Neurospora crassa OR74A: one gene and its partners. The protein of the gene in region 3 interacts with the protein of the main gene of each other region in a pairwise test. Links are inferred from orthologs where the notes say so. Each region holds a gene or a part of one and is shown on either strand. Other genes may lie near its edges.

Region 1 (9,844 bases), on a different chromosome or scaffold from region 3:
ACCAACGGACCCGCCAGAGAGATCTGGAGGTGGAGGCCTGGAGCCAAAGCCAAGATTTCCTTCCCCGGGCTGTTGCTGGCTGTAAAACCCACTTCGGTCTTGTATCCTACTGGCTTATCTGATCCAAAACTGGGGTCCAACTGTCCTGCATGTGGATGGTTCGTCTCGTGGAGTCACAGATACCCTGCCGTCTCCACCAACAACGTCAACGCCGTTGAGGCGGCAAACATTGTACTGTGCGTATGATACTATCCAGATCTTGCACGCTTCGATAGCGTCGGCTTCCAGTCAAATCAGTCGACGAATCTTGTAAAGAGATTGTACCTGCAGGATGCGACTGTAGTGTACCAGGATTCACGAGGCGTGAAAAGGAACCTTGTCTGTGAACAAGTGACTGTGATTGGTTTCAGCTAGAGATGTGGACTGCGCATTACATATACTATTAAGTAGTGTTCGGGGAGGCTGGCTTCAGCAAAGCTGCCTTCCCTAACCCGGGCGACGAAAGGCTGGATCGTGGGTTCGGGTTGTGGCTCGTGTAGAAGTTGAGTACTGGGTTGCACCATAGCCGATAGGTAGGGAGCGACCTTTAATTGAAATTCGGTGTACTTAGTCCAGATGAAGGTGTAATTGCATAAGAACGGAGAAAAGGGAGTGATAGGCCTTTGGGTGTTTGAACTGAGGTATAGACTTGGAGGAGCTGCAAGTACATTAACGAAGTGGGAAGTAAGCTTTGGTACTAATGACATCAGATTCAACGTAATGTTTTCATTGAAGCCCAAAAATCCGTACAATAACAAATGGAATCAGTTAGTGTAAGCGGGACTCCGTATGGGGACTGCCCGCGAAAGCACCAAAACCCCTACCTAGAACTCTCACCGTCAACCAAAATGTAAGTATACAATAGGCATGTGACATCTCATTTTACAAATTGTCTAACACTCTAATCTCCATAAGTCATCGCCATCGCGATGATTCCAAGTTTACGGTACAAGGAGAATGCTCGGAGAGTTGGCTCGCAAGACGCGAATCATCGTTGGCCCACTTTTAGACGCGGATAAAGGTTCCTTCCTCCAGACCTGTACGCCATGGCCAGGCAAGCACCTTCTCAATCACTATTACCATCCAGTCAGGATGGCGTCTTGATCGGATAAACCTGCAACTTGGTGTTACAGTAACGACTGAAAGATACCCGTACGGGCTTCATTCGTCCCGCCAGTGTCACTGTCACGAAGAGTCGAACGTGAAGTAAAATACGACATCCACGTACAGACCGCTTGAAAATATCAAGAACAGGAAAGAACCATTTGGTGAGACTGGTCATAGTTACGTCGTGAGCAGTTCGGCTTCAGAGGGTACAGAGGGCATAGATCGGGCACGGTTCTGGATCGTGCTCGCCGCTTTTCTCTGGACTTCTACTTGGGGGATAGGTATGTACACTAACACAGGCTTTTCCAACTCTTCTGTTTACCAACTACAGTAGGATTACAGTCGCCATATTTCATCATCACTCGAGCCTACGGGCGTCTTCTCTAATTGTGGTCAATCTGTGACTTATGGATTCCCGTAAATACCATTATCGAAGCAAATATCCATACGAATCAGGTCATCCATCGGATCATGACCATCATCGACATGAACGAAGAAGCAATGAATACCATCACACATCTGCCAGATTGCGTACCCGGGAAGCTCGGCACAATCACCAAGGTGCGTTCGAGGTGCCCGCTAGCCAGCCTGAGAAGGCGGATTATGTCCACACATGGCTGCAGCGATCACAAGCGAATCGTGCCTGTTCCCCAGAGCCGGTTCCGGGGGACAGACCTCGAAAGGTCTCGCCGCGCGCGCACATGGTCAAGCAGACTAGTCAAAAGAAGAAGAGAGCACGGTCAGAATCGCCCGAGCTAGTACACCCAAGAGAGACCCATAGCCCAAATGCTCTTCGGTTTGAAAAGAAATCCCGACACAACACGAGGCTTGACAAATACGAATACAGGCCAGAGGTAGATCGTCACAAGAGACGGACCCAGACTACAGAACATCGCCGGGAGGACAGTCACGGGTCTTTGGAGGATGTTAAAAGACATACCCGAAGTAAATATCAACATGCGGTGGGTAACTGTCACTAACGTCATTAATAGCAATTTGCTAATGTAGTTCAAATTACAGCAACGAATGAACGAGCATGCCCAACGAACCGACCACGGTACTGCCCGTCGCCAGAGCTCCAAAGCCAGGGAGGTCGAAACTATATCAAGACGCCCTGATCATAGATCAAGAGCGGTGGAGCCAGGACGAAGAAGCCGAAGACAGCAGGCGGAAGCTAAGGAAATGAAAGAGCTGTCTGCATTCTTTACGGGGAGAGCTGACGGTGAAAAAGCGGAAGCTGAGAAAATACACTACCGACCTCATCGAGAACAACGATACGACACTGCTACTGCTAGACATCCGGCTTCAGATATCCGCCAGCAACGAACACATGATTCACCCAGCCCTTCGCTTCTTCCAAGTAGAAGCACTGGCTCTACCAGACAGCCTTCGCCTGCTTCTCTCCGGCCAGACTCTCTTTTCTCTTCGCGTGGTGATGATTCAATACTTGTCCTACCAAATCGTCCGAGTAGCAGATCAACTACATATTTCACATGGTCAACAAGTGACAGGGATCCGGCGCCAGTGTCCAACGTTTCCATTTCAGAGAAACCCCGGAAGAGCATTCAAAGTTCTGCTCGGAAGCTTGTCCTGCAGGAGCGGGAAATAAAGGGCCCACATGTGGTTTCGGAGGATTTCAAGATTAGACCAGCTTCGAGAGCAAAGCGTCATCCACGGAAATCGATAGTGTACCAGGATGCTCAAGTCCAGACATCGTTTGATGCAGATCGGAATCAAAATCGCCAATACCCAAAAAATTCTATACCCCAGTATCAAGATTCCGCAGTCATGACAGCAGACGAAAACAGTAACCTCAAACAACGTGTCTCCATGCTGCCTGCAGAAGCATTGCCAACTATGGACAAGAGAACTGTATATGAGCAGCCCTCATCCAATACAACAGCAACAACGCTACTAGATGTACCACCGCAGCCACAGTTCCAACCTCAACCACAAGCCTGGGTTACCTCTAATGCCAGGGATAGACTCTTTTCTCAGCCGTTTGTAGCAGCGCGTAACTTGTTTGCCCAAGAAGGCTGGCAAACATATCAGGAGCCTTCTCCTAAGCAAGCATCCGGTCGCTATACGAAACTCGTTCCGCCTGAAAGAGTTCGGGCTGTAATGCCTTCTCACCAACCAACCTCTTTGCGCCCTGCAGTTGATCAAATTTCAAGGTCTATTTCATGTCCTCCAGCTCAGCTTTTGTATGCTCATACGCAGGATCCGCCTCGTGAAAGTATGGAAGATTACATCCGCAGAATCGAGCAAGAAGCTCTGCAGAGTTCCACCAACAACGAAGAAATGGATGGATCACAGCCCCATGGTCCAGACCTGACTGAAGGTATAGGGCGGCAGCAGCTCGGCCATGGTTTATATCCCGAAGGCAATGATACATTTCTTCGGGACACTGCGTGGTACAATCAGCATCAACTTCCAACAGACACAGCACATATCCAGGTACAGGATCCCGAATATTTCGACCTAGAGCATTACGGGCAGGGCATAGGGGGTCAAGATACCCGGTTACCGAGACTGTGGGAAGATCCTCGCGAGTTCTGAGATGTGACCTGATCCAGCAGAGAAGCCATCACTCCGGCTTTTGATCTTTCCACTTTGCTTTAATGTTTTCGATATCCATTCCACATTTTGCGGCTTTGGCGACTACCGCCCGAGCCTTTCCAACCACAGGAGCATCAATCATCTTTCCGTCCAAGGTCCAAGCACCTCGACCAGCTGCAGAGGCCTGAGCATCGGCAACGAGGATACGAACGTACCACTCAACCTCGGCCTCTGCTGGAGCAAACATTCGCTGAGTCACTTCGACCTGACTGGGGTGGATACACTCTGTTTGAATGCCAAGTATTAGTGAAGAGCACAGTTCCCATAAGAAAGGCACCGTCGGTACAAGGAATGGAAATTCAGGAATAGGTAACTCACGCTTTCCGTTGAAGCCCATCTCCTTGCCGTTTTGACACTCCTCCTCTAGCTGCTTTACCCCCTCTGGACCCTTGTATGAGGTACAAACAAGGTCAATGGAGCTAGGGAGATCGAATGCTCTGGCAGCAGTTACAATAGCACTTCTGGCGTACAAAAACTCGGCCAAACCTGGCGTTCGCGTAATAGACAGGTCCAACGCAAAATCCTCAGCAGCAAAGATCAGACCACTCAGATACGGTGACGCAGCACATATCGAGCGCAAATCCATGACTGCTCGGGCCGATTCAATCAAGGCAAGTAGCTTGAGAGGGCTTGCCGTGGGGTTAGAAGAATGTCGCTGTGGTGCAGCATGGCGAATGACATCTGTAACGAAGGACAGATCACTAGCACTGTTGACCTTTGGGATGACAATGGCGTCAAGGTTTGGGGCGCTTGCGAGAGTGGTCAGATCATCAAGCGCATAGGGCGTCGAGACAGCATTGATGCGTACAGCAAGCTCTCCAATGGAGGCCGGCTTGTCCGAAAGTGAGGACAGGTGGTCGCGCAATTGTGTGCGAGCGGTCTGCTTGTTTGCTGGAGTCACCGAGTCCTCAAGGTCATAGGTGATATTATCACTAGCCAAGGAGAGTGACTTGGTCATGAACTTCTGAGAAGACGCAGGAACTGGGTCATGCTGAGTTAGCAACTATTGCAGCCATATGACAGGAGGGTTATATCTTGGATAGACCGCACCATATAGGAGCGCCCGACGGAGGACGGAAGAGGTAGCCATGATGTTCAGTTTCAAGTCAACAGGTGGGCTCTGCGGTATGTCTGGATGTTGACGGGATGGAAACTATCTGGGCTCACAAGTATGACCGACCCAGCCACTCATCCACTGCATACACTGCTAACAAAGGCCCGAGAGCATCCTAAACCACTCAGTGACTACTGTCTGTAAATCGGGAAGAGGGGAGAAAGTCAACAGAAGGATGTTGCTGAGCTCAATGGGGAATCGAATGGCATGTGACGTAGCACCAGCGCGGAGCTGTAGCTTCGGGCCGCTGTCGGCTGGGGCGCTATGTCCACTAGATTTTACTGTCCTCCGACCTCCGTTCTCTGGCTCAATATGCATGGTAACTTTGTCCCCGGAGAACCTCATTTTTAAGCAACAATAGGATAAGAAACCGGGAAGCACGGGGATTGCTTTGACGCAAAAAGACATTGAGTTCCATATCGAAGTAAAGCCTGGTTATTTCAGTTCGTAGGGAGGCTTTGTACGGAAGACCAGCATGGTGTTCATGCCCAAGGGGAAACGTGGTTGTAGGTAACGATAGTGCATTAACAGCAATGCTGAGTTGTGTGGGGAAAAGGTACCTCCCAGGTCCTGCCAATTACCTGCAAAAACTGGGTATTTCGATACCTTGAAGTCCTCCCCACCGGATATTCAGCCGTTAATACACCCTAGCTTGTGTTCGAGACGGTCTGTCAGCGCGGAGCTTAGGTGTTCTGACCTGCGCAGTTGCGCATCGTGCAAACGGCTTGGCTTCACCTCTCTCCAACTTCACGACGACACCATTGTGACAAAGTACCTTCGAACCCGGTAACAGGTCACCTTCTGATCCTGATGATGGAAGCAACACCGACGCCCGGCTCTTTGAGCTGGCGCTTGAGCTCGCATCCTATTACGCTCCTGACATTCCTCGCTTTTCGATCATGTAGGTGCTCGCAGTCCCTCTTCCTAGCTCCCTTTGTCAGTGTCTCGAGGATTGGATGTAGCCCATTACGGCCATGATGGGGAGGAGAATGCATTCCGGCAGGATGATGGGTAGAAGGTCACGAAGAGAAGACGGGGGAGGATGGAGCACCCGATACCTGCTACCAAGACACGCTTGCTAAAACCCGATCGCGAACTACAGCCAGTCTCCTTGTCTACCTTTTTGGCCTCTTATTTACCGACAACCTGTAAGGCGACCCCGTCAGCCCCCTTAAACCACACCATATCAGATGCTCGACTTGCCCACTTGCTCGTCTATACAGTCGCAAGCGAACGCGAACCCGAGAGTGTTCCCAGCCTTCCACAGCTTTCATCCATCAGAAGAAATCAAGGGATTAGATTGCTAACCACCCCCCCAACCGACCGGCAGTGTCATGATCTTCATCATAACCATCCTTCTCCTCGCCGGCGACTTTTACTACCTCAAGAACATTGCTGGCCGCCGACTCGTGGGCCTGCGTTGGTGGAACGAGGTCGATCCTAACTCGGGCGACTCGCACTGGGTGTTTGAAAGCAGCGAGCCGGGGACCAAGATCATCAACGCGACCGACAGCCGCTTCTTTTGGCTGGCAATCTATGCGCAGCCGCTGCTGTGGGTTGTGCTGGCTATTGTGGCCTTGTTCAGTTTGAAGTTTATTTGGTTGCCTCTTGTTGGTATGTGCCCCTTTCCCCTCTATCCATCGTACTAGCGCTTGCCAGTTCCCTTGGCTTGCTTGTTGTGCTGCGTGGTTTTTGGGTTGTCAAAAAAGGCATTATATGCTAATCGGAGGTTAATGGGCGTGTTGTATAGCTATTGCGTTGGTTCTTACCATCACCAACTCGCTTGCCTTCTCCAGGTGCGACAAGTTCAGCCAGGCTTCCAACATTGCTGGAACCGCGTTCAGCTCGGGCAACATCGCTGGTAACATTGCGAGCAACATGGTTGGCAGGTTCTTCTCGAGGTAGAGAGCAAGCAGGACGAGATTCCCCGAGGTCAGGGAAAAAGTTGTGGCTTTGGATTAGTATCCGAAGGGACTGTTCTCGTCAGATATCGATAGAGAATTCAGCCCCGAAGATACTTGATGGCCATCTTAGGATTCTCATGTTTTCATGATGTGCATTATGGGTCGGGCTCGAAATTGGTGACAGTATAAGGAACTTTTGCACGACAAATTGCCGATGGTTACCTTCTAGATTCATTGCCAGCAAAAATAGTATCTGAGCAAGACAAGATGTGTGAATTTCAGGGTCCGTTATATGGTGTCCGGCTCAAGTACTAGTAGTCCATGATTTTCTTGTTTCATGCGGATCCTTCGGACATGACATAGGCCATGGCTCTGAGACCACCATTCGGTACGTTCACTCCGTTTCCTCGATGCATTCACATTCTCTGAATCGCTCCATAACTGTTCGCAGAATAAAACAGAAAATGGAAATAGAGTTGCTGATCAAAGATTTTTCGATTTATAACCATCAGATATTGTAGCATCGCCCCTACTGATACGGACATACGTAACTTCCCAAAGATCAACAATGAAAAAGGAAATACTCATATCATCACCCTCTTCCTTAACTACTTTGCTCGGTTATCTTCACTTTCCAAAGCATTCGTCATAGGTGCCTGGAGCCCCTCTGCCCTCCCGCGTGCTGTTCAATGGCCACATCAAGCTGTCGCTCTTCCTCCTCCAACCTCCTGATTTCCTCCTCTGTCATGCCTTCCTCGACCAAATGAGCATACGGCGTTGACAAGCTCCTACCCTGTTGCTGCTGCTGGCTGATCAGACTACCCCGGTTGCTATCAGTGCCTGCTCCCCCATGTGTGAACGATGGTGCGCCGCCACCGCCGCTGTGCAGAGTGGTAGGCGACCCTCCTCCTTCTCCCCCTCCGGACTGATGATCAGAGTACATGGTAAAAGACCTTCCAGACTGATGATCGTGCGGTGTCTGCTGCTGCTGCTGCTGCTGCTGCTGCATCATGTGGTAGGACGGGGCGTTCGAAGCCGGGCTGTCTCCATCTCCTTCTAGTCTCCCATCTGCTCCGGGAAGAACCACCTGAGGGGGAACGCCAGAATCAATGTTAGGAACAACGACACTACCGCTATTCCTGTTGGCACCGGCGTCACCCATTCGCACGAGGTTGTCAGAGTAAGGCGAGTGAGGCGCGCTCGTCACGTCGTGGATGACGCCCGCGTTGGCTTCCTTCTCGGCTATGAGCTCGTCACCGCCGTTCCGACCGCCGCCGCTGGCGAAGCCCCCGTAAGGCCCACCGCGACTGGTGCCGTCTCGAAGGGCGTTTTGCTTGTGGCGCCGCCGGAGGCAGAAAAAGACGATGCCGCTGATGAGAGCGAGGCCGAGGAGGCCGCAGGCTATGGCGATTCCAACGATGGCGCCAATGGAGATACCTTTCTTGCTCTTGAGGTTGGAAGGCTCTCCGGTGCCGCTGCTGACTAGGCCGCCGCCGTTGGTCGGGGTGGCCAAGGTTGCCCCTGGAGTGGGAGAAGGTGATTCGGTTGGCTTTCCGACTCCAGCTGACTGGCCGCCCCCATCGGAGTCGTCCCTGATCGGATGTTCTTCCGGAAAGACCGGGTCAGGGTTGTTGAGCAAAGGATTTAAACCATAACCCTCAAGTATGGTATGGTCTGGCGCAATGTTCCCGATTGTTGTGAAGAGCCGGCTGTAGCTCCTGCCCGTTTTGCCGCCGTTCTTCCAGACAACATCAAAGTACAGCAGCTTCAGCGGGGCTGGCTGGGCTGGCTGGGCTGAGGTATTGTTGAGGTTGAGGATAGTCCAGATATTGTCAATTGTCACCGAGCCTCCTGTAGCATTTGTCTCAACTGTTGGCTCGTTGCCTTCAGTTAGCACGAACGTTCCAGTCATCACGTCACGCCACGGCGAAGAGAGGTTAGGCTTTTAGACAATTTGTGATGCACTTCCTGTTGACTTACCGGTGAGGTTGATGGGATACGACGTAGATGTTGGCAAGGTGATGATATCGCCCTGAGGCGCCATACCTAAGGTTAGATCTGGCCAGCTCCCAATTTTCTGCGAGGTTTTTGCAAGGCTTTGAAGCGAGGCAGGCTCGACTATCGTAGTGTTGCTGTAAAGGTTGACGGTGTTGACAGTGGTACCGCTCGTGTTTGTGATATTCCATCTGAACGTAGTCGCCTCCCAGATTACGGCCGGCTTGCCTGGTATTTCTTTTGTCCCCTGGGTAAATCCGTCACTGTCGCTGAACATAACGATGTCCGTATGAGAATTAAGTGAGGCTGCGCAACCTGCCAATGGCAGACCGGCTAGCAGCCAGCTCCTTTGCGTGGCTATTCGCATGATGAATCGACTCCCGCTTTCCTAGGCCTCCCCCTGTATCCGGCCGTCGACTTCCGAAATGTGTCGTGTAGATTCTCACTTCCTCAAGCAAAATGCCTTGTAGTTCTAGATATACGCATCTCCTCTTATAATCGGCTTCGTTTTCGTTGGTGCCGGTTCGAATCCAGAGCAGATGTGCTGACACCGGTAAGGGACCAGCTGCTAAGAGTGTGCCAGATGAACAAAGGTGTGAGAAAATGGACAACCCAAATGGAACCGGGCACGATGAAATGCGAAGCGTGTGTAGGTAAGACGGCCAGGGTCTGTGGAGTAACAGAGCGAACGAGGCTCGGGAGTAAGCACCAATACCAACTCGGGATAGGAGCAACTATCCGTATGGAAGATTGGATGGATTAGACGCACAATACCCCCATCCGCAGACAGATGAAGGGTGGGACAGGCAGAGGGCGAGGAGTAAAGAAAAGGATCAGATAGGATGGGAGAGCGGGAACTCCTAAGCAAAAAGAAACACCAGGCCAGGCCACAAACGGGCGGGGGGGCCAAGGTCGGGGTGAGCTGGGTTGTTGCTTATGTAGAGCCTGTTGGTGCAGTGGCTTGGGTTGTATGTCAAGCACACTCTGACGCTCGCAAGGGAAGGGGGAAAGGAGAAAACAGAATGGTACAAAAAGGGTAGGATGGAAGGCCGCTCAGCTGAATCAA
Region 2 (10,065 bases), about 2.7 Mb from region 3:
GGCGTAAGCTACAATAGTCACTGACAGAAAGCCACGAACGAACTTTTGGAGCCTACGTACGCTATGATGCCACAAGTGACAGGTAGTGTAGAAACTGACAGCGGATACGTAGCCCGAAAAGAACTTTTTTGCTTTCGGTGTGTGTGTGTGTGTCACAACGGTAAGAGAGCCCATTGGTTAGAAGACTCTCTGTTGAATCCCAGTTGGGAATAGTCTCATCCCTCTTATGGACGCCGGGATTCGTAACCTCCAAAGCTGCTTACACTACTGGTGTATTCCTAGAACCATCATCCATCCCTTCCACACCCAACGTACGTCAGCCCTGAAATGATAAACATGTGAAGTCTAAGGCTGAACTACCCTACGTACATCACCATCATCACCATCATGCGTGGACCTTCACCCCGAGCTTTGTGACCAACGTACGTACGTATTAATAAGATTTCCAATGGACGGGTAACTAGACTAAGCTTTTCGACCCTTGTGTATGTATATCCCCGCCCCGCTGCTTATCACGGTTGGCCGCGTACGTCGAACGACCCAAACAACACCAAAACTCCCCGATCCAACATCCCCAAAGCGAAACGACAAAACAAAAAGCGGTATGACGACGGCAGTGCTTCCCAATACAACCCGAAAATTCTGGTAGCCTACTTACTTACGTTGCTTAACTTAACTGACAACTATTACTGCGTAAACAAACGTAATCCATCAACGTAGCCTGCTAGGTAGTCTTCGTACCTACCTGCCGCTGTCAGCACGGCTAGAGGTAGGTAAGCTTTTTCGTTCGGCAATCCACTGCCGACCAAGTCTTTCTTTTCCCAAACTTACCTACTGCGTACACACGCGGCTACTTTTTGTGCCTTTGTGTAACGACACATATATATATATATATATTTTTTTTTTTTTTCTCCTTGGGTGGCGTTTCGAAAAAAAATGTAACTTTCCCCCCCCTAGAAAAAGGTTCCCAATTGCACATGCACATGATGAATCATAGTGAATTATAATGGATGGCGCAGCCACACACGACTAGACTACCTAGTTAGCCTTACTTTGATAGTATACTTGGTAGACGTTATTGAGTTACGCTGAGCATTTGGCTGTCATTTTCAATATGCATAGGTACCTAGCCATTGACAAATACTCGACTAGAAAAAATTTGGTTTCGGTGCTGTGACTCATTACTAAGGCATGATGGCCTTTGCTTTGCTTCACTTTTCATTGTTTTTGGTAGTAGTAGTAATTGGGCTGAGTTGTTTGACAGGGTTTCCCACGTGGTTTACATATGCAAGAGCATGGGTGGGTTCTTACTATTCCATCTGTTGTTGTCGTGGTTGTAGGGACAAGGAATGCGTAGCCTAATGCCCTTGATTTTTCTTCTTCTTTGGTTACTGTGGAGATGAGGGTAGGAGGTAGTACACGTATGTGTATACGCACACCTGGTAAGCACTTACATCAAGGGATGGATGGATACTGAGATACGTTGATACCGATGGTAGATGGGGGAGAAAGGCGGAGTGGCTTTGCTTTGTTCGACGAAATCGGCCTTACCCTTCTCACCTCACCGAAATTAGTGTAGGTACCTATTGTTGTGGTTCAGATGGGTAAGGGGAGATGAGGAGGAGGAGGAGGAGGAGGAGGAGGAGGAGGAAGAAAGCAGAGTTATCAGAGATGTATAAGAGGAGTTGATGGCCTCGCTTTTCAGGATGTTGTGTTTTTGTTCATCATCAACATCAACAGCTTCAGACTTCGTTCAGATCTCAAGTACTACCTACCTACCTAGGTACCTTCCTCGAGAACACAAGAACCACACCACACCACCAACCAACCAACTTGAAGCTTCACTTACACGGACAACTTGAACACCACCAACACCATCTAAAGACATCCTCATCAAGACTCTTCGACCAACCATCACCACCACCACCACCCAAAGACCAACAGACACCAAAAAACAAAATCATGTCCGCCTCAACAAACTTTAACTTCCCCTCCCACCCCACCTCCCGCTCTCACGCCCTCCAAATCGTCCAAGGCACTCGCGCCCTGGAACAATCTCCACCTCTCGCCTCTTCCCACCAGTCTTCCTCAAAGTCCTCACCCAAGAAGAAGAACCACCACTACGCCGAATCCACCACCTCAACATCCAGTTTCTCCAGCCGAACCAGTCTCCTCAAGGACAAATTCCACTCCACTTTTGGATCTTCTTCTTCTTCGTCACCGTCTTCGTCTTCAGACAGCAGCAAGAGCAAGAGCAACAGCAAGTCCGTGAGTAGTAGTCCCATGAACAGCACCAGACAACAAGGGCTGTTCCTACTTGGTTCATCAATAAGGATGGGGCACTGATTCTTTTTTTCAATGTGGGGGGTTGTTGTGGGTGGTAGTATTAGGAAGACTTGAGATGATTTCGAGACGAGCAGCGGCATGGGGAAGTGGCAAGCGGTTTGGCTTGATTACCCTATGGGCAGGTCAGATCGTTCAAAGTATCGATAGCGAGTATGGACAATGAAAGGGGTCCCTCCCTCCCCGGCACGAGGGGTGGTGGGGCGGCACGAGGGATGGGATAAAAAAGGATGATGGGTACGCATAAGGGCATGGTCAGGAAAACGGAAAAAAGAAGGGGAGTAGTTAAGAGGAGGCGTTTCTTATGTCTACCTCTACCACCTGGGAACTGGATGGATGGAACGTATTGTAGTGTACCTGTTATACCCGGGATAGAAAGAGGAGGACAGCGTACCAAAGAAAGGGCAGCAAATGGGTGAAATAAACTGCCAGCGCAATTCAATTCAGCAGAAGTCATAGGTTGAATTGAAAATCCGATTGAACTTGAACTTATCAATCCCAGAAACCAATCGCGGCAAACGCCTCCCCCATAACCTTTTGTTGACGGATGAAGATAGTAAAACATCAAATATCAGATACAAGGCCACACAGCTCCAAACGTACCTCTCTTCCTATTAAGCCTATCTCCTTCATATCCTAACCTCCTGCCCCTAGAACATCATCATCATCGTAGCCGGATCAGCAGGCTTCGCATCCCCACCACCCGGGGCAGCTCCCTTCGGACCATCCTTCAACGCCGGGCTTCCATGCGCAAAGAAGAGCACCTTGATGGCCAGGGCCAAACCAAAGTGCAGCGCCACCACGACAAACAGCAGCACCTTGCTCGTCTGGCGATCCGTCGCGCTGAGCACCGGATACAGGTTCCTGAGCAAAAAGGCCACCGACACGCCGAACCCCACGCCCACAAACACCCAGTTGAGGATGGTAATCGGCGACCAGCTGATCAGCGCCACAGGGATCCAGATGAGGTTGGAGTAACCGTACAAAGCCCAGCACTCGAGCAGGTTGGCGGATTCCGAACCAAAGTATCGCAGGGCAAGGTACAAAGCGACCGGCAGGACAAAGGTGTAGCCGTAGATGAGACCAGCGGCGCCTGTTGTTGTTTTTTTTGATCACATATCAGCCCCCAATTTTACTAAAATCAATCACCCATTCACCCAAAGGGAAAAAGAAAAAACAAAAAACTTACCGCTCAACAACCGAAAATCATACGCAAACGCCTCCTTCCCCGTCTGCGCCAAATAATCACTAATCGTCCCGCCCAAGAACAAAATCAGCACCACCGTCGTCGCGATCCAAAACGGCCCGTACAGGTCCGGATTTCCCTCCAACACATCCAAAAAGTTGGCTCGCGGGTACAGGGCCGCCCAACACCGCTGCAGCACGCTGGACGTGTCCACGTCAAAGAACTGCGCGTAAAAGGAGAGCGTCCAGAGGAAGCGCTTGCTGCTTCCTCCTCCCGAGTTGGAGGAGGTGCGGGCGGCGGTTACGGGAGCGGGAAGTAACCCGCCGCCGAGGGAGGAAGTGGAAGTGGTGTTGGTGTGTTGGGTGGATTTGGTGCCGTTGCGCCCGAGGGGGGAGGATTCGGAAAAGTTGGATTGGTGGAATTCGAGATCTTCTTGGAGGTCGGTGTGGCCTAGGTCGCCCTGGAGAGAGAAGGAGAAAAAAGGGTGGTTAGTTGGGTATGTAAAGATCAATGACTACCATGGGAGCGGATGGGAGGGGAGGAGAGGGCGAACTAACCTCGTCGTCGACGTCTACGACTGCATCGTAGCCTGATCTGGACATGGTGGCGGTTGTTTGCTGTCTGTTGGTCGGATGTGAGCTGTGATGACAAGTCTTTCGATGGTGATTTGGTTGGAGCTTGGGAACACGCCGATAGCTGTGAATCGCCTTGGAGTCAAATGGTATGATTAGTTTATGCTTAGTGTAAGTCGGTCTCTCGATAGGTAAGCTCCTCCAAAGCTACTTAGGTGGTCTGGTCCCTCCGGAAGCTGGTGGTGGACAGCTGTTTCAACGTGAGCCGCGTACACCAAAGGGTAGAGGTAGGTAGGTAGAGGTACGTACCGCTGTACACTTGCGTGCACGCCCCCTGTTGGGGTCCTGAAACCGCAGCAGTGCACCCCCCCTTAACGGATTCCCGGTCCCTGCAGTAACTCCCCGCAATATGTCACGTGGGTCCAAAGTGGCCATCAAGGTAGTTGAGCTGTTTCGAGCGACATTCATAATCAAGCTCAAATTATTCTACAAGATCACTGCTTTTGGTAGGAGAGCTTCAATGCCCTTTTGTGTATCCCCACGGGCAATGTCCGAGTTTATTCATGAGCTACGTAGAAGTCCTCGACTTGACGTTTTCAGCCGTAGCCATCCATTCCCAGGTCCCGTGTTTCCCTGTCCTGTTGTCCTTATGCCGTTGCCATAACCATACCCGTTTGCCCCCAAAAAGCCCAAATGCGCCAAACCCTGATGCTGGTACGTAACACTGAGCTGTCTATTTGAGCTTCTTCTTGGGGCGGAGCTGGTTGGTGTGTCCGCACTTGCGCTTACGGCAGTTGGTGGCACGGGGAGGCAGACGAGCCTAGAAACAAGTTAGACCTTGGTTCAACATTTGAGAAGGCGAAAAGATGATATAGAGTATACGTACGTAGCACTTGCGGCAAATCATCTTGTCGCAGTTGAACTTGGAGGCAAGCGCCTTGAGCGAGGGCTCGATGATACCACCGCGCAGACGGAGGACCAAGTGGAGGGTTGACTCCTATAGCAGAAATCCATGTTAGCAAGTCGACCATGACACCAATCAATTGAATCCCATTTCTGTTCCCATGGCCATCGCAAAAATGGAAGTTGACCACAGCAGTTGTCCTCCCATTCCCAACCCCTATAACATCTACGTCATAAGCGCGCTGTGGGGCCACCAGTCCACTGACCTTCTGGATGTTGTAGTCGGAGAGGGTGCGGCCATCCTCGAGCTGCTTGCCAGCAAAAATCAGGCGCTGCTGGTCGGGCGGGATACCCTCCTTGTCCTGAATCTTCTGCTTGACATTGTCAATCGTGTCGGAGGACTCAACCTCGAGCGTGATGGTCTTGCCCGTGAGGGTCTTGACGAAGCTATACACCAGGGGTACAACGTCCCGTTTGTTAGTGACCTGACTCAACTCCGCTTGATTGCTTCGTGCTGCGGAACGTCGTGAAAACTCACATTTGCACTGCGGTTCAGGTCAGATTAGCATCTCGACGAATTGAGGATTTGGTCTAAAGCAGTGTAATTAACTTACTCTTGACCGGTTATTCCTAGGTGTGGTCAGTTGGAGGTGCAGTGGTGAAGGAGGGAGTGATGTGATGATGTCGGGGAACAGCAACAGGACGAAGCTATGATGGTGGGGTTATGGGAACGGCCGCTCTGGGCAAAGTGGTGCGTGCACATGTCACAGTGTTCATCAGCTTCATATCTGCACTGTACCTCCATCTTCAACACCAGAAGGTCGCCTCCACCAACGATTGCTAAGTAGTTTCCTCAACCGCACCCGATTTGTGCTCTTCTTCTAATGCTCAATATGGATATCTTCTGTCACAGTATCGGTCTCATACTGGTTTGATCCCGAGAAACAGCTCAGGCAAGTATTCAAAGCAAGTCATACCTCCCCCAACCTCATCTTCCTCTTCTCCCTCTTCTCCCAACCATACAACAGTTCCTCCAGACTATAAACCGCCTTCACCAAAGCCTTCAGTGACAGCCCCGAGATCTCCGCTGCTTTCTCATGGAACCTTCTCGCAGGTCCAGATTCTCCAAGTTGCTCAACCGACCTAAACCGCTGATGAAGTGCACCCAGCCTCTTGATATTCTTCCCATCATTAGTCTCAGGCCTCGGTTCAACCAGCGTCATCGACTTTTGCACTCGATGCATCCGAGCAATGAGCTGCTCATCGGTCATGTCTTTGCTGCCGGGTTCCGGTAATCGCAGGACGTTCTCGAGAGGGAAGAGACGTTCGATTTCGGTTTCGTCTGTTTTCAAGTGTCTGTCAGTAAATCGTTTGCATTCTGACGGACACCCTGAGAGGGAAAGGAGGAGAAGGAGAAAGACATACCAGCAGCGCTCCATGATTTCAGCTGCGTCTCCTGATACCAATCCAAATACTCCACCATCTGCTCCTTACTCAAAGTCCAAACCTTCTCCGCATCCATGGTCGCAAAGTCGAGCCTCCTCAGCGGCTTCTCGGGCGGATCTGCGAACTCAGCCTCCCAAGCATCCCAGTCCATCTTCAACGTTAATGGGTCGTTGTTGTCTCGTGGATACCGCTTGACGCCGTCCATGGGGTACATGTACTTGGTTGCTAGCACTAGAGAGGCGACTAGTAGCACGTCTGGGATGTCGAGGAGGGTGTAGCGAGAGGTCTTGCCGGTGAAGGAAGACGCGTCGTCTTTAATGTTTTGGCGCGTTGGGAAGGTCCAGGAGAGGTTGAGCATGAGGCAAATTTGTCGGGCGTGGAGGTGTACCTCGGCTGGTATGATGATGATGATTAGAGTGTGTGACTTTAGAGGAAGAGGGGCGGCAGAACTTACGTGGTAGAGCCAGATCTTTGAGGTATAAGATGAGGAGTGACGGTGCTGGGAGTGGTGGTGATACCATGCCATAGTTCTTCTTAAAACCTAGGGTCAAGGTCAACAACGACTTGTGAAGCTCGCTTCCGTCAAACTTTGCCCATCGTGTTAATAGCGTGCGCTGAGCCCAGCCAGGTAAACGTTCTCGTAGTTCGTTCGGCACCAGTTCAAGCTGAGTAGCAAGAAGAATGTCAGTAAGCGAACCTTCTTGTGAGTACAAAACTACACACCAACTTACCGCACCAAGAAACGGCAACTGGTTGTTCTTCGCCCACCGATAAATATCCCCTACCCTCACCGGCTCCTGCTTGAGCAGACACCCCATATAAATCAGCGCCAGCACTTCCATCGGGCCAGGCAGATCCCACAGCTCGCTCTCCCAATCCTTCACCCTGCTTGACCTCCTCCTCTGGCTCTTCACACTCTCATCAGCCGACGTATCCGTCGTTTCCGCCTGCGAGCTGTACATGACCATCTCGCTATCGGAACCCGACTGAGAGAGCGCACCACCACCACCGCCACCATATTGCGACCCCGTTCCATCGTGATCAATCCCCTTTCCTTTCGCCTGGAGTGATGATGCCCTGGAAACGCTTTTGAGACCAATGAACTTGCGGATGCGTAGGTCCCAGAGATCGCGGCAGATAGACTCGAGCTCGTCCGAGAACCCTTTTTCGCGGATCAGCCAGAGGATTTGTTTGCGCAAGATGATCTGCAAGCAGTCGAGGTAGAGTTCCTTGGCGTCGTTGCCTGAGAGATGTTTGCGCTCGGTTTCGCGCACTTCTTTTTCTTTGCGCACTACCTTACCGGTTTTACCGTAGTTGTCGTCTTCGTCGACGTCGAATTGGATGTACCCCTGGAGATATATGTATGGGATTAGCGACTGGATATGGGAGTCAATTTGCATTTGATTGTTTTGAAGTGGTTGATCGTACCTCAACTTCATGACCGCGCTGACAATATCTTCGTCCATTCTCCGAGTAGTACTTTCGCGCACGGCATTCGGTACATCTCTGTCCGTTGGGAAACTTTCGCAGCCTTTGTTCATCCATACTCTGTAGCGCTTGGCTGCGTGCCTGCTTGTTAAGACTGTAACGTTGTTCCTCGCTATGTCCCGTCACTGATGACGCATGGTCGAGCGGGGTGAGTGAGTGAGTAATGAAAACGGACGCACGGGTTCGTGAGGGGAATGGTCAAATGATTGAGGGCTGCAAAGGTCTCCTGTGTGTAGAGTAAAGATGGGTATAATACAGCTGGAAAAAAAGGATAAAGTGACGATAGTTACACTTATGTTGAAAGCGTGTTGGGTAGAGATGCGACTCGCCGAAAGAATGAAAATTTCAAACCCAAGCTGAAAAAGCGCGAGCCGACTTTGCCTTTGACCTTCCTTCTGATGAAAGTCGCCAAAACTCGCCAAGATACAAAACGCCGCTTTGTCAACTACGAATCACTCCAAGTTGACCGACAGCAAACTGCTCTTCAGTCTGGTGTTTCGTTGTCTGCAGTCTGAAGTGAAGTCAGAGTGAGAAAGCATGGCTGGCCCAAGGGCATCGGACACATCGACCTCTAGATCGCTAGTGGAGGCATGATTGGTATACACAACAAAGACTATCTGGCAGTTCATTGATGCTTTTATGATATCCTATAGAATGACCCACACATCGACGGAGACTAGCATATGCTTAAATCGTGAAGGTCGATATGTACATGTCGACGTCAGTTGCGCCGCCAGTCATGCCTCGGTATCATTATCCCCACACGGCATGAACTTTGCTCATCCTATCGGAGACTAAACGAGACCAGAGAGGTACTCAGAACGGAGAAACCAACCTGGACCAACCAACAACTCAATCCAGCGAACGTTCGTGGTGCTAACAAACAGCACGGCTCTTTTGCGACTCGCAAACCACCCGAAGTCAATAATTCGCACCGATACAACAAAGACCACGAGACGCTCAAGATGTTTGGCAGACGTTAGCTTCGTGCGACTTCTTCAGGAAGTCGCGCCCTATTCCAGCAGCTACCGGGTCCAACAAAACGGGGAGACGTGAAACCATTCATATGTGACCCTTAAACACAGATATAGCGCAAAAAAGACGGATATCTCTTAGCCAGGCAAAAACCAACAGAACCGTCCCATGAAGCCATCATTAAATGCCAAACGTCCGGTGTCCCTCCAACTCCTCCAAACTTCCTTTAGTCCTTGTTAGAGGCCTCCTTGACATCGATGGCAGCCTCCTCACCCATGGCGGTCTGGACACCGACGACTGTATAGCAGTATTAGTATCGCGCAAGCTGGAAACGCGCACGTGTCGGGGAAACTTACAGAAGTCCTTGCCCTCCTCCTCGAGCTTCTCAATGCGCTTGGCAAGCTCACCCTCGGGCATCTTGACGTCACGCTTCTCCTCACCGTTGGAGTCAATAAGGACAAGGAAGTCCTCGTCGATGTAGGACTGTTGCACAAAGTTAGCTTCTAAGCTCCCGACCCAGCAATCTCGGGGGGCGTCCAGATAGTACGTACGAACTGGTAGTCGGTGCGCTTGACGTTGGGAACGTCCATGTTGTGGGTGGAGGGGCAGAGATCCTCGAGCTTCTTGCCAGTGAAGATATCGATGGCGACGAGATGGACCTTGGCGTGACCGTGCTTGCCGGTCTTGGAGGTCGACATGTCGACGATCTTGCAGGGACGGTTCTTGATCACGACATGGCCACCCTTGCGCAGAGCAGAGCACTGCATGGGGTAGGTGGCGGACGCACCAGCGTCGACGGAGTCGAAGGTGTGCTCATGCTGCTATATATGGGGACATGTTGGTTAGCACCCAATGCCTCTTTGTTGCTGATGATGATGGACGCGGCTATTGCGACGGGTAATCAGGTGAGAGATGGTGCGATTCGGGTTTCGTGCGTTAGGCGAGCAAAAGAAGCCATCCCCGTCCAAGGAAAAACACCACCGGAGGAGCGAGAGGGGGTCGGGCGATGAAGAGCGATGCGGGGTGACGAGTCTGCCCACGCAGACAGCCGCCGCCCGCAAGCGAGCACCGGGTATAATGAAGTGTGTGACGATGATTTGTGAATGGGCGCGGCAACAGGTGGAAGATGGACTTACAGCGTCGTCGTGGGCG
Region 3 (10,164 bases):
GTTGCATCGAGTGCGTGTGCTCAGAGCTCTGCAAGGAGGCTAATTCGGTTATCAGCAAGGCGGGAGCTGAGGTGATACTCAAGAGCTTGTTGGATGAGGAGATTGATGTGGAGAGCTTGCCAATGGGGCCGGAGGAGATCAGTCCGGCGGGCGTGGAAACGGTGATTTTGGCGAAACCGGTGCCGCCGCGGAACAGGAAGACGGTCAAGATTATTGGGCTTGCGGGGGAGGAGATTGAGATTCAGGTCAATGATGAGCAGGATGATGGGGAAGAGGAGGTAGATGGTTCATGATTGACGATGTGATGAGAATACATTGAGTAGGTATGTAATGTAAACTGTATGCTTCAAGAAGTCGTCTTGTTTGGAATTCCCGGTTCAAGTATGTAACTATAGATCCCGGCTTACCCCAGAAATGTTTTCGTCTTCCCCATGGGGTCCTTGTTGCTTGTGTCCACCTTTCCCAAGCACAACGTTTCTCCAAACTCATGCAGGTGATGGTTAGTCCCCGGAATGAGGGCATCGCCATGAAGTAAGGCGACGCCTTCCTGGGACAGTCCCACGCCAAAACGTTGTACACTACGAAAACGAGAGAACAAGTTTTCAAGGAAGCTTGGCTGACGACCTTTGTGCAGCACAAAAAAAGCCACCCGCCATGGCACTGCCAAAGTCATATGTACATATATGGGACCCGCCTTGGCACATGATGACTGCTTTGACGTGTTTTGCACATTGAGTGGTTCCATCATTTGTTGTTGCTTTTGTGTTTGGATGGTGTTTACTCAGCGAATGCTACGGATATGGGCTGTGCAGCGATCAACCTCGTCTTAACAAGCTGGGGCCGAGGGCTCTACACTAGATTTAGTGTAGCGTCGGTACACTTGGTAAAGAGGATCCACCGCGATGTTTATTTAGCGGAGATCTGTGCACAACGACTGCCGCCGATTCTGCTGCCATGGTGTTTCTGCCTATTCATTAGCTTCCTCGTATCCGTCAAATATAGTGTGCAGTTACACATCACTGGCTTCGACACCTAGAGGTAAGCTTTTCGGCACTCGAAATCCATCTTCCGATTTGCCGAAGAACATCAACAAGAGAGAAGATGTCACACTTGAAGCTAGCGCATGGAAGGCTGGGCGAATGGGATTGCACTCGTCTGGATCCTCATCTGCAACTGGGTCTCCCAGCCCTCCAGTCCGAACTCCGTCCACCCCAAAAGCCCCAGTCAAACCCCCCAGTCTGGCCTGAAACCCGACGCCGACGAGCCTCGCTCGCCAAAGGGAAGCCAGCTGTGTCTGCACCAACGGATTCTTGGCGCTTGGCTGCCTCTAGGGGTCCACCTGGTGTAAGAAGAGCAGGGTGGCTCCTGCATCGAACCCCGAGCCTAGACCCATGATAAACGGTTTTCTAACAGCGACGGACCATGCGCAAATGGGGAGCATGAGCGTGGGTTGACTTCAGCTCTCTCTCTCTCTCTCTCTCTCTATTTTCTTCCCGTGGGGTTGTGAGCGTCATCTGGTCCAATTATCAGATATGTATGCTTCTTGTGAGTCCTGCGATCATTGAGTGAGACCGACGTGGATGCTCATAAATATCACGTCTTGATACTCTTCCTCCTCCTCATTCTTCGTCTTACAAACTTGCTACTGTCCTGTTGTCTCCAGCCATCTTCCTATCAAAGAGTTCCCGCCTGTCTCGCCTCGTACATAGTCGTACTTTTTCGTCTTACAAGCTTACTACTCCACCTGAACTTTGGTCGGGCTGTGATGCCTACCTACCTAAGCCAGTGCTGACCGCCTTCACCTAGTGGCTTGCCGATTGGGCTCTTTTTTCATCTCTCTTCCCCACCTCTGTTTACAAGTCGTCCTTGCTGAAATCCATTATTTTGTCGGTCTTGAATAAAGGACGCTGTATCTTGGGGGGTCACTGTTCGTCGAGACGAGCAACTGCAAACAAACATCTCTGGTACAGGAGGAGCGCTACTGGGAAGCCACCTACCTGTCTACAACTACAAATCTTCACCCATTTCACTCGCAACATATCTTACACAGCAACCAAAACACACCATGACATCGCCCTACCATGCAGCGGCGCGAGAAAAGCGCGCCGCCGAACGTATTTTGGACGAGAGAAACCCCAACTCTGGAAACGTCCCGCGCGGCTCCTCTTCCAGCCGAGGTCCTCAACAGCTTCCTCTCCACTCTGATCCCATCGGAACAGAAGGCCGCGGCCATGGTTCTCACCACCACCACCACCACCACCACCACCCACCGGCCCCAAAATCGTGGTTCCCTGTTCGCGCAGGCGGCGAAAGTGGCCGAAGCGGCATCCACCCATGGCATTTTTTTCGCATCGTGTTCCGCTCGTCCTCGCTGGCGTCTCGCATGGTCAACGTGCTATGGCCCGTGGTGCCCGCTGCCATCGCCCTCAGATACGCCGCCCCTCATCAGGATCTGGCTATATTCATATTGGCGTATATTGCTATGGTGCCTTGTGCGAACTTGGTTGGGTTTGCGGGACAGAATTTGGCCAAGAAGGTGCCGCATGTGTTTGGTGTGTTAGCCGAGACGACGTGAGTATTTTCTTCCTGCTTCCGCCTGGGACATGGTTATGTAACGCTGCTAACTGGCTACGGTCGACAGCTTCGGGTCGCTGGTCGAGATTATTCTGTTTATAGTCCTGATAAAACGGTATAGCCCTACCCAAGCAGTGGACTACACCCAGGTTATCAGGGCTGCGATCCTAGGTTCAATCCTTGCTACGATGCTGCTCTGCCTGGGCTTCTGTTTCGTTGCTGCTGGTTTCAAGCGCGAGGAGACGCACTTTAGCGAAATTGTCAGTGAAGCCGGTAGCGGGCTGTTGCTCACTGCGTAAGTTCCCACGTCCATCACACCAGAGCTCCGTGTCTACCAGGCGCAAGTACTCACTGTTTCTTCTGTCACAGTGGATTCGGCCTAGCCGTTCCTACAGCCTTCTATAACGCCCTTCATGGCCGCTTAGACACAAAAGAACTCGAGCGCAAAACCCTCGAAATTTCACGTAGCACCGCTGTCTTGCTCATCATCGCCTATCTCGTGTACGTCTTCTTCCAGATGCGCACCCACCACGGTATCTACGACGCTATCTTCGAGGCCGACGCCGAGCGTGATGACGACAAGCATAAGGAGCTTCAGAGTCATCGCCTCACTCTGATCGAGTCCATCATCGCCTTGGCCGTGGGCGTCGCCCTTGTTACGATCATTGCCATCATGCTCGTCGACAGAATCCACTTTCTAGTTGAGGAACGCGGCGTCTCCGATGCCTTTCTCGGTTTGATCATGATTCCACTTGTCGAAAAGGCCGCAGAGCACTTGACGGCCGTAGACGAAGCGTACGACAACCAGATGAATATCGCCCTATCGACGGTACTGGGCTCAACGCTACAGACGGCCCTTTTCAATGGCCCTCTCGTGGTGATTGTCGGCTGGGGAATGAACAAGCCCATGGGGTTTAACTTTGAGCTGTTCGACCTAGCTATGCTGATCCTCGCTATTTTGACAGTCGGAAACTTCTTGAGGGACCAGAAGACTAATTACCTGGAGGGTATGTTGTGTGTGATCGTGTATGTGGCCATCGGCGTGGCAGCAGCTCACTACCCGAACCCTCAGGAGCTCCATGAGGCATTCCCGACGGCGGGCACGTCTCCAGCTCCAGCAACGAGTGGGTCGGAGGGTGGTCATCATTAAGCCAATGGCTGCATGTCTGTTAGATTGTCGGGGAAGGAAAAGGGTGGACGAGTTTTACCATAGGATGCATGTTTCGAACCATGGTGGCTTACAAAGTCCAAACAGGGATATTGAAAAGAAGATGGAGGATAGGTACTTTCTGTTATTATCGTTTCAGCTACATTTAGACGCCGTGGAACAGGGGCGAGGAGTGTCTGGAATGTATCAATATACACGGCGAAGTGACGGTGAAAGTGTTGTAAAGCATACAATCCATTATCAGCTATCTTTTGCAGGGAAGCTTAGAGACAGGATGCAAATGAAAAAAAATGATATCAGGACTTTACAAGACATTGTGTTAGGAAGTCTGATGAAGGTGGAAGGCTTGGGTTGAATGATGTTTGCGCACTCATAAACCCTAACCCTGGGGTAATACCACAAGTAGAGCTCGGGCCACTTTGGAGCACTGCCCTGTAGCAGCGACAAACGTCAGCGCCTTGACCCGTGGGGGGAAGGGGTCGTCCGCCGTGCTGAACATGGGGACGTGGCCCGTCCAATCCAATCGGCCCCCCCCCCAAGAACATTGAAGCTTCTCTGACGGAGCTTTCCACACAACAGCTCCTACCTAGGCAGGCATACCACCACCATTAATCACGAACACCTCTGGCACTGTATCCCGCCCGGCTGGGAATAGGTTCTTGACATCCCAATCGACCGAACACTGACCGACTGAAAGGGGCCAACCTTGATTGCGTCCGATAATCCTGCCCACCCAAACAGGGAAGCTTACACCTTCTGCCACAAACGAACAACTCGCCTGGCCGCATTCACGCACGACGACTCAAAGATGGCCTCACTGGGTGGTAAAGACTACCACCATCAGCAACCAATGTTGGACGACGATGATCTGATAGATCCTGACGATGGTAAGCTCTACTGACTTCCTTGAGTTTCTCGCAATTACATCTCTGTCGTCCACGTAGACATACACCTTCCACCCCACTCGACAACAACGAGACAATTGCTAACACAGACATTTCCCAAACAAAGCCGACCTAAACGACTTCGACGACCCTCTTGCCCCCTCCTCCTCCCGCGCACCCTTAACCGGCACCATCGGCTCTTCGTCCTCCTCCACCGCCGCCGCCGGCGGCATCGGCTCGTCCTCTTCCGGAGGGAACACCCAATCAGCCTGGACCTCCCGCATTCCCGGCGAGGACCGTCGTGCGCCCAACAACACCATCGACGAGACGGTCTGGGAGACGCTCCGCCGTGATCTGCTCGCCGTGTGGTCCAAGATGCGCGAGGTGCTGTATCCGCGCTACCTCTTTGGCGGCACCATGCTCGAGTCCGAAGACGGCCTGCGGGGCGCCTACGCCAACATCCGGAACGCCGGCCTGTCGGGCGCCAGGGAGGAGTTGACGGGCTTGGCGAGCAGAGTGATGGACCCCGAGTCTCTGCTGCAGCAGGGGAATATGAGTCCTGGATTGAGGGACTGGGATCTTTGGGGCCCGTTGATCTTCTGTCTGTTGCTGAGTACTCTGCTGAGCTTCAGGAGCAGGGAGCAGCAGAGGGAGATTGTGTTTAGCGGTGTGTTTGCAATGGTGTGGATTGGTGAGGCGGTGGTGACGGCGCAGATCAAGTTGTTGGGTGGGAATATGTGAGTGGTTTTTTTTTTTTTTTTTTTTTTTTTTTTTTTTTTTTTTTTTTTCCCTCGTTTTCTTGTGGCTTGTTGTAGCCGACAAGCTACAGCATTGATGAGATGATAGTGTGGCCATGCTAACAGTTTTGGTTCCAACAAACAGCTCTTTCGCCCAAAGCGTTTGTATCATCGGATACACCCTTTTCCCTCTCGTCCTGGCTGCCATGCTCTCCGCTCTCTCGCTGTACTGGGTCGCCCGGATTCCGGTGTACCTGGTGCTTGTAGGCTGGTCCTTTGCGGCAGGCATAAGCATTCTCAGTGGAAGCGGCGTTGTTAAGAACCGCGTTGGGTTGGCGGTCTTCCCCCTTCTGATCTTCTATTTTGCTCTGGGGTGTCTGTGCTTCATTAGTTAATGGGTTTGTTTCAGAGGTTGTTCGCATTTAAGAGAGGGCTGTCAACACGTTCCACCTGGTAGCAAATATGCAAAGGGGACGATTAAGGAAAAAAAGTGACCAAGGAAGATTAATCTAGGGAGTCACTCGGCTGTATCACAGATCAAATAGGCAAGTTGACGTTGATGTTGGGAAACTGATTCCCGTCACATGGTTCCCGGTATGACATTGCCCTGGCTTTAGGTGAGCAAAGGTGCGTATTACCGTGCGCTGATCCTTTTGATTCGTTGTTCGTTGTGACATCTTTCGCCCTCTTCACCTTGGGGGTCAACATACGGATCCCCTTGTATAAAGTCAAGATTTTCTCTACATCTGCCGCTGATACCGACTATCGCGAAATTAGCTAACCACTTGGTTATATCACACTCAGTTAGATGGCCTATAAATCATATAGGCCCTCAACCACTTTGTTACCCTTTAGCCCCCCTTCCCCAAATACCTCTCCAGATCAGGTCCTCTCCCCCACAACTCCCTCTGTATCCTTTCCGCTTTCTTCTTCTCCACCTCGGCCATCTTCCGAACCTTTTTCGCGTCCAACAACTTTTCCTTCTTCTTTGGCAGCACTGGCAGCTGCCCATTCTTAGGCACCTCTACCCCAAGCCCCAAGTGATCATCTTTCTTCTTGCCCTTAATGGGGAACTGGATTCCCTGTGCCGCGGACCCGAGACCTTGGCGGGAGTCTGGGTCCCAGCCGTGGCTTGTAAGATGTTTGAGCCCCATCCGTGAACGGTCAAGCGCTGAGGGAGGGTGGGAATGTGGAAGGCGAGATTGGTGCGCAAAGGACTGTTCGTGGATAGCTTTGGATTCTGGATTAGGTGCGTAGGGGAGGCTACAGATCTGGCAGATTTCCTGTTGTGGTAATACTATTGGTGGCTGTTCTGTTGGCATTGTAGTGGTTTGGATTGTGTCTGAGGTAGTGGTGGTGGTGGTAAAGGTGGTGGTGGTGGTAATATCCGTCACTGTTGATTGATTTCCATTTTGTTTCTCGTTGTTTTTGTTTTTGTCCTTGTTGGCGAGAACCATGTCCAGGTAAAGACCAGCTACGTCAAGTTTTGGCTTGTTGGACTTGGTCGTTGTTGAACTGGTTGAATCTAGATCGCCATCGGAGGCGGGGACGAACTTTATCTGTTGTTTGTATAACCCGGTGCCAAAGGGGCGAAGGTGGTGGAGGGGGACGTCTTCTGCATCATCGTTGTCTGTAACCTTGACGGCTCGCCTGTCTGAGGAACCCATTGTTTGTGGGTACATGCGCAAAGCTTTGTCTTAGATGAGTCTGTGTCAACGTTTTGTAAATGACGGTGGAGGAGAGATGGACAAGCTGTGTTAATGGGTTCGTGAATTGATGTACTTGTAAAGGCTCAGTGGACCGTCAAGTGGTGAAGTTGTACGTAGTAGTAATTGATGGGGCAATCACGGGAGAACCTTGATGCCCGCGCTTGAGGCGTGGTTAGTGGGGCCTGATGCCTGCCGTCGATGCGGCTCTGTTTCGGTTCCTGGTCGTGGTCCCCGCCATGTTGGACCCACCCATTCCTCCATCCGGACTTCGGTCGGTTTTGGTGGACTAGGTCGCTAATTATAGCCCCTGAAACCTTGACGTAACCTTGTTTGAGCTGCTGTGGTTGGAGCCAAAACTTCTGGCCAGTTGGGCCTGTAGCCAATTGCGATAGCTCCTCCTTTCTCGAGCTTGTTGTCCTCTTTTATGAGCGTTCTTTGCTTCTGCACCAACAACAACAACAACAGCAACAAAAGCAACAACATCTCAGGATCCGCAGAATGACCTTGTAACATTACTGGAAGCACTAACGATCCCTTCGAAACCCATCCCGCATAATGCCAATTCCCTTCCTCGCCAGCGTCCTCATGGACGGGTGGCCATCATGGCTACCCGGGCCGTGGACTCTCACCAAGGCCGGCAGCGCTCTCGGAGCCATCGCGATCACAAAGATCTACGCCAGTGGCGCGACATGTACGGCTGAACGGAACATGCACGGTCGCGTTGTCATGATCACCGGCGGCACATCAGGAATCGGCGCCGCTACGGTCTACGAGCTTGCCAAGCGAGGCGCCCAAATCATCCTCCTCACACACCACGAACATAACGACGCCTTTCTCGTCGACTTCATTGATGACATGCGCGACCGCACCAACAACCAGCTTATTTACGCCGAACAAGTTGATCTACGTTCCCTGCACAGCGTCCGAAAATTTGCGACAAAATGGGTTGACAACGCTCCTCCCCGCCGCCTCGACACCATCATCCTCTGCGGATCGACCCTCACACCGCCCGGAAAGGCGAGGACTGAGACACCGGATGGAGTGGAGAGCACCTGGCAGGTTAACTTCCTCTCCAACTTCCATCTGCTGGGCATCCTCAGTCCCGCGATCCGCGCCCAGCCGTTCGACCGCGACGTGCGCATCATCATCCCGACATGCTCCGCCTACATCCGCTCGCCGTCGTTGGATAAAGCTTTGGATAAGAAGGACTGGTCCCCCGGCAAGGCATACGCGCGGAGTAAGATGGCCATGATGGTGTTTGGCAAGGCCTATCAGAAGCACCTGGACGCATACAAGAGGCCCGATGAGCTTCCGATGAATGCGCGCGTCTTTTTGGTGGATCCTGGATACTCGAGAACGCCTGGCATGCGCCGGTGGCTTACTAGAGGCACCGTATGGGGTCTCATTGTGTACCTTTTCCTTTACGTCTTTTCCTGGCTTTTCCTCAAGAGCGCAAGGATGGGCGCGCAGTCTATCTTGTGGGCGGTTATGGAAGGCAGTCTCGTGCGCGACAAGGGTGGAAAGGTAGTCAAGGAGTGCATGGTGGTCGACTGCGCACGGAAGGATGTGGACGACGAAGCCATTGCGAAAAAGCTGTGGGAATCAAGCGATAAGCTGATTGAGGAGAAGGAGAAGGATGCGGCTGCAAAGCGGGCAAGGGCAAAGAAACGAGAAATGGAGAAGGAGGAGGAGAAAAAGGAACGGGAACGTGTTGAGGAGATTGAAGCTTTAGTAAACACGATTAAGAAGGGGAAGCAGAAAGACAAGGAAAAGCCCAAGAGTGGGAAGAAGGCGAAAAATGGAGAGAAGACTGCCTAGAAGGAGGTCAAATAGACCAGTAACAGCATATAGATTTCACGTTCTCATAGTGTAGACTGAAGACTAGGTACCATCCAGTAATGTACGTACAAAATGCAGGCAGGCTGTGGAATTGAATCCCGATGCTCGGGGACGGGCCGATCCATGAGCGGAACCCCCCTCGGGCGCTTAGCAGGCAGGCAGGCAGGACACCATATTGAGCGGGGATAGAACGCCGGGCTGGTAATTATAGTGGGGCTCTTTCGGCACTTCACGTGAAGATGATCAACAATGACGAACTATGTAAATACTTAGTATCCTGGGCGATCCAACGTCCCGGGATCATGAATTTCTGGGGTGCATCAGATGTCGCTCATTTAATCTCCGCCGAGCTATTCGTTCCTGAAATCAGAACTAGTATTTTATCAATCAAGAAGCCGAGTTTCGGCCCCAGTGATCATATCCGTTCTCAACCTCCGGAAGGCTCACACAGTTGACTATTGCCCTCAACAACACACAGCTTCACGGGCCTCCCTCAACTCCAACTCTACTACGCAGTTCAACCGTGACTTCACCCAACCTATAAGCCGAGAGATCACAAAATACCAAATATACTGGCCCTTAAGACCACCAACGCAAGCAAATCATCAACACCAAACCATTCTATGACGACCCTCCTATTAAACCCCACAAAGGCTCAGGTACCGCTACTACTATCATCATCTTCGTCACCTTCACTCTCACAATCCAGAACAAAGCACCTTACGCCTGTTCCGAAAGCGGCAATGCCACCATCACCTACCATGACTCTCGACCCATCCCACTGCCATCCGGTTTTCTTCACGCCAAGACTGCGAAGAAGTCCGTCTTTTACACTTCAAAAACCCGGACCTAGTGGCACATCATCGTCGCATGCGGTGAGCCCGGTGGTTCATGGGTATATGTTCCAAGACGCGCAAAGGCTTCAGAAGCAAGGGGTTGTGAGCCTGGGAAACATGGCAATTGGGCCGGCGAAGGTTGCTGGGGGAAGTTCGAGGCTATGAGGATGCTGGATGAAAATCGGTGTGGATGAGGAGGCGTCAGATGCGAGACATACAGTCGGGACTCGGGGGCATTTCTGACGCCCCATGGTGTTGAAATTATGAGTGGTGTGTTGTTCATAGCCAGGTTAACTCGTATCACCATTATCGTTTCTCAGGATCGTGCGTGGGACGTTATAGTATGGACTTCGTAAGGTCTCAAGCAATCACTGATGATCCCAAGCCGAATTCAAGACAGGAAATGTGCAGATACCT

Evidence for each region. The genes of interacting proteins can lie anywhere in the genome.
Region 1: the proteins of NCU06367 (region 3) and NCU02733 interact in a two-hybrid assay, tested with the Saccharomyces cerevisiae proteins (2 studies listed by BioGRID). The link is inferred for Neurospora crassa OR74A from reciprocal best matches to the Saccharomyces cerevisiae genes YIP4 and TVP23.
Region 2: the proteins of NCU06367 (region 3) and NCU05276 interact in binary tests that used the Saccharomyces cerevisiae proteins (3 or more experiments, as listed by UniProt). The link is inferred for Neurospora crassa OR74A from reciprocal best matches to the Saccharomyces cerevisiae genes YIP4 and YIP5.

What each region holds. Positions count from the first base shown.
Region 1 is NC_026501.1:3,358,151-3,367,994, reverse strand, and holds NCU02733 (golgi apparatus membrane protein tvp-23), read left to right. Parts: upstream 1-5,528; 5' UTR 5,529-5,689; coding exon 5,690-5,780; intron 5,781-5,981; coding exon 5,982-6,027; exon of another isoform or gene 6,028-6,209; coding exon 6,210-6,493; intron 6,494-6,629; coding exon 6,630-6,784; 3' UTR 6,785-7,081; downstream 7,082-9,844. Other genes in the region: NCU02735 (hypothetical protein), read left to right, coding at 798-889, 1,270-1,427, 1,583-1,707, 1,994-2,059, 2,167-2,595, 2,658-2,792; NCU02734 (citrate lyase beta subunit), read right to left, coding at 3,734-3,990, 4,084-4,746, 4,816-4,855; NCU02732 (hypothetical protein), read right to left, coding at 7,430-8,652, 8,764-9,145. UniProt on the Saccharomyces cerevisiae protein: Golgi membrane protein involved in vesicular trafficking.
Region 2 is NC_026504.1:5,493,350-5,503,414, forward strand, and holds NCU05276 (Yip1 domain family), read right to left. Parts: upstream 4,396-10,065; 5' UTR 4,132-4,395; coding exon 4,087-4,131; intron 3,990-4,086; coding exon 3,533-3,989; intron 3,437-3,532; coding exon 2,994-3,436; 3' UTR 2,764-2,993; downstream 1-2,763. Other genes in the region: NCU05277 (hypothetical protein), read left to right, coding at 1,963-2,268, 2,402-2,509; NCU05275 (ubiquitin-60S ribosomal protein L40 fusion protein), read right to left, coding at 4,835-4,921, 4,988-5,098, 5,271-5,451, 5,543-5,549, 5,619-5,619; NCU16890 (hypothetical protein), read right to left, coding at 5,976-6,346, 6,430-6,843, 6,905-7,115, 7,182-7,799, 7,879-7,995; eif5A (initiation factor 5a), read right to left, coding at 9,140-9,210, 9,270-9,396, 9,465-9,734, 10,050-10,065. UniProt on the Saccharomyces cerevisiae protein: Possible role in vesicle-mediated transport. May be involved in proper membrane localization of Rab GTPases.
Region 3 is NC_026504.1:2,759,497-2,769,660, reverse strand, and holds NCU06367 (Yip1 domain-containing protein), read left to right. Parts: upstream 1-4,235; 5' UTR 4,236-4,550; coding exon 4,551-4,629; intron 4,630-4,753; coding exon 4,754-5,363; intron 5,364-5,508; coding exon 5,509-5,758; 3' UTR 5,759-6,103; downstream 6,104-10,164. Other genes in the region: NCU06365 (DEAD/DEAH box helicase), read left to right, coding at 1-293; NCU06366 (Ca2+/H+ antiporter), read left to right, coding at 2,066-2,571, 2,642-2,869, 2,944-3,724; NCU06368 (hypothetical protein), read right to left, coding at 6,215-7,045; NCU06369 (oxidoreductase), read left to right, coding at 7,628-8,890. UniProt on the Saccharomyces cerevisiae protein: May be involved in proper membrane localization of Rab GTPases.